Linked DNA regions of Saccharomyces cerevisiae S288C. The protein of the gene in region 1 interacts with the protein of each later gene in a biochemical or structural test. Each region holds a gene or a part of one and is shown on either strand. Other genes may lie near its edges. The genes, in order: PRX1 and SRX1.

The links.
Region 2: the proteins of PRX1 (region 1) and SRX1 form a complex in vitro, tested with the Saccharomyces cerevisiae proteins (one study listed by BioGRID).

Annotation. Positions count from the first base shown.
Region 1 is NC_001134.8:99,783-103,330, forward strand, and holds PRX1 (thioredoxin peroxidase PRX1), read right to left. Parts: upstream 1,375-3,548; coding exon 589-1,374; downstream 1-588. Other genes in the region: SEF1 (Sef1p), read right to left, coding at 1-333; KIP1 (Kip1p), read left to right, coding at 2,104-3,548. UniProt on the Saccharomyces cerevisiae protein: Thiol-specific peroxidase that catalyzes the reduction of hydrogen peroxide and organic hydroperoxides to water and alcohols, respectively.
Region 2 is NC_001143.9:276,084-279,164, forward strand, and holds SRX1 (sulfiredoxin), read left to right. Parts: upstream 1-2,197; coding exon 2,198-2,581; downstream 2,582-3,081. Other genes in the region: phosphopantothenoylcysteine decarboxylase complex subunit CAB3, read left to right, coding at 1-915; cytochrome c1 heme lyase CYT2, read right to left, coding at 1,106-1,780; malate dehydrogenase MDH1, read left to right, coding at 3,040-3,081. UniProt on the Saccharomyces cerevisiae protein: Contributes to oxidative stress resistance by reducing cysteine-sulfinic acid formed under exposure to oxidants in the peroxiredoxin TSA1.

The DNA.
Region 1 (3,548 bases):
GATTTCATCCACATCTTGTCTCAGTAGTTGCAACTGTGAGCCCTTCTTAGGCCTGAATTGAGGATTGATTTCACAGTGGAGACCAATTTTTTCGCATCTGGAGCAAGGATGAGGGAAATTTTGACTAGCATCGCATTTGATTTTGTGCTGTCTACAATGTGTACATGAGGTAACTGGTCTATGGTTGATTTGATGACTGTCATCATGGTGAGATATTCGTTGTTTCTTACTTGGGAACTGGTGCTGTTGCAACTGTTGCTGCTCCGGTTGTCTTTTCATGTGAGCAGAACTAAAATCTTGGTCTTGGTCAGAATCTCGATTATCCTTCACCATGACGAGAATGCGTATACGCAGAGCCAATATAATCTGTATACGGGACCTTTGACATTAAGGTTTCTGCAGAGAGTTTATTACATGCATTTTCATATATATATTTTTAACGCCATTCCTTTACGGTATGTAAAGAAAAATGATCCAATGAGCGGCCCTTCGTACGAGATGAGATATAATAAGAATGAAAGATAGATAAAAGTTTTAGTTAGAGATACTTCATATACCTGTATATAGTAAAGTCGTTTATTTCAAAGCTTATTTCGACTTGGTGAATCTTAAATAGGGTTTAATTTCATTAAATTGACCAAATTTAGCCTTCGCCTCATCATTGGAGACAGAGGGAGGAATAATGACATCGTCAGCTGGCTGCCAATTAATTGGAGTTACTACGCCCTCCTTGTCAGTCAATTGCAAGGCGTCGATTACCCTTAACACTTCAGAAGTGTTTCTTCCGACGGTGGAAGGGTAGGTAAAAATCAGTCTAATCTTCTTCTTGGGATCGATGACGAAAACAGACCTCACGGTCTTCAGTGACCCATCATTGATATTTTTGAATCCTTCGGCATCTACCATATCATATAGGAATGCCACGTTTCTAAAAGTGTCACCAATTATTGGGAAACCAACATTTTTAACCTTTGCTATTTCCTTGATGTCTTGAATCCATTTTTCGTGGGACTCAACATCTTCCACTGAAAGCCCGATCAATTTAACATTTCTCTTGTCGAATTCCGGCTTCAATTTGGCGAATGCGCTGACTTCGGTGGTGCAGACAGGGGTGAAATCTGCTGGGTGAGAAAACAAGACCCCCCAAGAGTCGCCCAAGTAGTCGTAAAAATTGATTTTACCAACCGTTGTGTCAGCATCAAAGTTAGGAGCATCAGAGTTTATTCTTAGTCTTGGTTGATCACTTTGTTTGAATTGTTTGCACAGAATAGGTGCTGTGGCAAATGTTTTAATCGTCTGTGATTGCAAGTGAGCCTGCTTAGGAAGGGTCCATGCCGTCCTCTTTAATTGAGCGCTACAAATTCTACTAAACATCCTTTGCTTCCTGCTTCTTTGAAATTTATCTCATCCTACTGCGAGAATCTAGAAGCACAATTTTCTATATCTCTCCTTCTCTCTTTATATACCAATAGCAGCAACATCCGGCCCCTTGTTTCTTTACGTAATTAAAAATCTCCGGGGCTAGCTTTTGCCGGGGAACCCATCCCGAAAAAATTGCAAAAAAAAAAATAGCCGCCGACCGTTGGTCGCTATTCACGGAATGATAGAAAAATAGCCGCGCTGCTCGTCCTGGGTGACCTTTTGTATATTGTATAAAGATAAACATAGTGCTATCAGGAATATCTTTATATACACACGCATACTGAATGTGGTTGAAGTTCAAAAAATATCACAAACGTTAAGAAGTTTTACTGGTAAACATATAGACATAGTGGAGCGCTTGCTCGAGGTCAAATGCAGACGGATACGAGAGCGCGGGAGGGAAACCGGAGAAGGTCAATATGCCCATAATTCTTCTTCTTTGAGGTTGGCAATTATATATTGTATCTGAATTAGGCAAATAGAAAAGAGACCTTACCATTAGCGCCATCGTAGAGTCCCATTTCACCTTTTCTTAGTTCTTTATATATGTCTGCGTATGGCCCACATATGCGCGCACAGTGCGCGCCACCCTCTAAGAACGATAAACATAAAATAAACACATAAACAATCAACGACAGTTCGCGCTTCCCTCACTAAATATGGCGAGATAGTTAAACAATCATGGCTCGTTCTTCCTTGCCCAACCGCCGCACCGCCCAGTTCGAAGCGAACAAGAGGAGGACCATTGCACATGCTCCATCTCCAAGTCTTTCAAATGGGATGCACACTCTAACGCCGCCCACCTGTAACAATGGTGCTGCCACTTCAGACTCCAATATACATGTATATGTAAGGTGCAGATCGCGTAATAAGCGAGAAATAGAGGAAAAAAGTAGTGTAGTTATATCTACACTAGGCCCACAAGGGAAAGAAATCATTCTGTCCAACGGTTCTCACCAATCGTATTCGTCCTCGAAGAAAACTTACCAATTTGATCAGGTGTTCGGCGCAGAATCTGACCAGGAAACAGTGTTTAATGCCACTGCAAAAAACTACATTAAGGAAATGTTGCACGGGTACAATTGTACAATATTTGCATACGGTCAAACGGGAACAGGTAAAACCTACACTATGTCTGGCGATATAAATATTCTCGGTGATGTGCAATCTACCGATAATCTATTATTAGGAGAGCATGCAGGTATCATACCACGGGTTCTGGTCGATTTGTTTAAAGAATTGAGCTCCTTAAATAAAGAGTACTCCGTAAAAATATCCTTTTTAGAGTTGTACAATGAAAATTTGAAAGATCTGCTCTCTGATAGTGAGGACGATGATCCTGCAGTCAACGATCCCAAGAGGCAGATTCGTATTTTTGACAATAACAACAATAATTCATCCATCATGGTCAAGGGGATGCAGGAAATCTTTATTAACTCTGCACACGAAGGCTTGAATTTGCTAATGCAGGGTTCGTTAAAAAGGAAAGTGGCCGCTACTAAATGCAACGATCTTTCATCAAGGTCTCACACCGTCTTTACAATCACAACAAACATAGTTGAGCAAGATAGCAAAGACCATGGACAAAACAAAAATTTTGTTAAAATTGGCAAATTGAATTTGGTGGATTTGGCAGGCAGTGAAAACATCAACAGATCGGGTGCGGAGAATAAAAGGGCTCAAGAAGCTGGCCTAATAAACAAATCGCTGCTAACACTAGGCCGTGTTATCAACGCACTCGTTGATCATTCTAACCATATACCTTACAGAGAATCTAAGCTAACAAGATTGCTACAAGACTCTTTAGGTGGTATGACGAAAACATGCATTATCGCAACTATATCACCTGCGAAAATATCCATGGAAGAGACTGCAAGTACGCTAGAATATGCAACGAGAGCCAAATCAATTAAGAATACTCCACAAGTAAATCAGTCTTTATCGAAGGATACATGTCTCAAAGACTACATTCAAGAGATTGAAAAATTAAGAAATGATTTGAAAAATTCAAGAAACAAACAAGGTATATTTATAACTCAAGATCAGTTGGACCTTTACGAGAGCAATTCTATCTTGATTGATGAGCAAAATCTAAAAATACATAACCTGCGAGAACAAATTAAAAA
Region 2 (3,081 bases), on another chromosome or scaffold:
ACTGCAAAGGCGGCGCCATTATCGGCTAATAACTCCACACATAAAAACAAGGAAGTTATCACTGCACCCACAGGGCCTCGTGTACCCTTCACAGAGTTCTTTCAGAAGGAAGACGACAAGAAATTCCACATTCTCATTGGTGCGACGGGCTCAGTTGCCACAATAAAAGTACCTCTAATTATTGATAAACTTTTCAAGATATATGGGCCTGAGAAAATCTCTATTCAGTTGATTGTCACAAAACCCGCTGAGCATTTTTTGAAAGGGCTCAAAATGTCAACACACGTTAAAATTTGGAGGGAGGAAGACGCTTGGGTATTCGACGCTGTGAATAAGAATGATACTAGCTTGAGTCTGAACTTGATATTGCACCATGAATTAAGAAAATGGGCTGATATTTTCCTGATTGCGCCTTTGTCAGCTAACACACTTGCTAAACTGGCCAATGGTATATGTAACAATTTGCTAACTTCTGTGATGAGAGATTGGTCACCACTGACCCCAGTGTTGATTGCGCCTGCAATGAATACATTCATGTATATCAATCCTATGACAAAGAAACACCTGACGAGTTTAGTGCAAGACTATCCGTTCATCCAAGTTTTGAAACCGGTGGAAAAGGTATTAATATGCGGAGATATTGGTATGGGTGGTATGAGAGAATGGACAGATATTGTAGAGATCGTTAGGAGGAGAATCAATGAAATACGGAAAGCTAGGGACGAGGAAACTGGTGATAAAGAGCAAGAACAAGAAGAACAAGAGGGTGCTGACAATGAGGACGACGATGATGAGGATGACGAAGAGGATGAGGAGGACGAGGAGGAGGAAGAAGCTCTAAATGAAACAGCATCCGATGAGAGCAATGACGAGGAAGACGAAGAGGATGAGGAAGACGTGAAAACCGAAGTTTAAATGCATTAGAAAAGAGTATTTTGTGTTATGTTTTATGTTTTATTTTTTTTTTTTTTGTTTATTCCTTAAAAGAAGATTACTGCTTTTTCATTCCCTAGTTTCTAAATTGAGTGCCTAAATAAGATTAAATAAATATGTATGTGGAAACTAGGGAGGGTATGTTTTTATTTACAGGAATAGTTGTAGTAATTCAAAAGCCTAAAGATTTCCAGAACCGTAATCTAAAGCCCTCAAAACTGTTTAATTTTGGTCTAACATCGAGATAAATAAGTGGTTGTTGCTGCGAGTTTGCATCGTTCAGATCGGTGGAATAGAAATCGATTACGTAGTCGACGGTTTTACCGCATCTATCTATCTGCCAATCATGTCTATCAAAAGGTTTGGCCAGGTGCAAGATACGGGACCTGAACCAGGCCCTTGGTGTCAGTTTTTTGGAATCACCTTTAAAATTTGTTAATTTGATACCGCCACACGCTTCACCACCCTGCTTGTCTTCCCAGCTTTTAATGTAGTTCCAAACCCGCTCATTGATGGAGTTATGTAAAGGCACAACCACCTTCATGTCATCTGAGTTCGGATCCCAATTTTTTTTCATCATTGCCTCGTAAAATTGTTTCTCCGACGGGTATATCCAGTTTCTGTCAGAATTCGTCCTTGGTATGGTGGAAACCTCTCTGGACTGAGAGAGATCCACCGTGGTGTGATATTCAGGCGTTTTATCGTTATCTTGTGGGTTTGCAGAGCACTCTAGTTGATTGCCTGGGGCAGTAGCACCAGGATGCGCTTCGTTGCCATGTTCTCGTAGCCATAACTTTTTGGTTTCCTCATCTACGGGGCATTTCCCCTGTTGGTCTGAAGACATCATAATATGTAAAATAGAGACGAATGAAAAGCACGTGAACTAACAAACTATTTACTACTACCGAAATGTGATGCTTAAGCCTTTGGCCTCTGCAATACTAGCGATTGCTTTTTCCCTGATTAGTAAGCTACATCATTTATACTACATCTTTCTGTCTTAGAAGGCTTACAAACATCGAAAAGCTGGAACTTTGATTTCGAAAAAAATATGCCGTTACCCGTTGCGGGTCCCTTTTTTTTAGAAGGCCGGCCCAGAAGTCGCCATTATTTTTAGTCATTACAGTAGCCCTGTTGGGTAAGGATGCGATGCAATACATGTCAAGAGGTGTTGTATATAAACCACAATATCTACCATCAATGAGCTATATATACTTTTCTTACTGAAAAAAAAAACTACAAAACCAAGTAAAAAAAGAACAATATGTCACTACAAAGCAACAGTGTAAAACCAACAGAAATTCCTCTCTCAGAGATCAGACGCCCCCTAGCGCCTGTGTTGGATCCTCAAAAGATCGACGCAATGGTGGCCACAATGAAGGGCATTCCCACCGCTAGCAAGACATGCTCTCTAGAACAGGCTGAGGCGGCTGCCTCAGCCGGGGAACTGCCGCCCGTGGACGTGCTGGGCGTGCGAGTCAAGGGACAGACGCTATATTATGCCTTCGGCGGCTGCCACCGTCTACAGGCATACGACCGCCGGGCTCGCGAAACGCAGAACGCCGCCTTCCCCGTGCGCTGCAGGGTGCTACCGGCCACTCCCCGCCAAATCCGCATGTACCTGGGCAGCAGTCTCGACATCGAATAATGATTACGCTAATAACACTACATAAGAAACATAGATAAATTATAATTCACTAATACAAAATCCCTCAATTTAATTAATCAATTTCTTATTCAACAACTAGAGTAGGCACTAGCAGTTTGTGCGACCCTCGGCGCCGGAGAGGTACAAGGGACCTGGCGGTTGGGCCTTCCTGCCAGCTTCTCCCCCCCTTCTCGGCATTCACTCAGCGTTCATTGGCTCAATCACGCGCCAAGCGGATTCCCAGAAAAATACAAAAAAAAGTTGCCATAATACAATGGCGGATATTACAATATATATAGCTTGCGCTTTAAAAAGAAGTGTTAGCACGCATTGGGTGTTTGTACTGTATTCCTCCACTTAAGATAACGAATACACATATAGATATACAATATATTATACGTGGACATCTACGGAAAGGAAGAAAAAAAACAAAAGGAAAAGGAAGGATACCATATACAATGTTGTCAAGAGTAGCTAAACGTGCGTTTTCCTCTACAGTT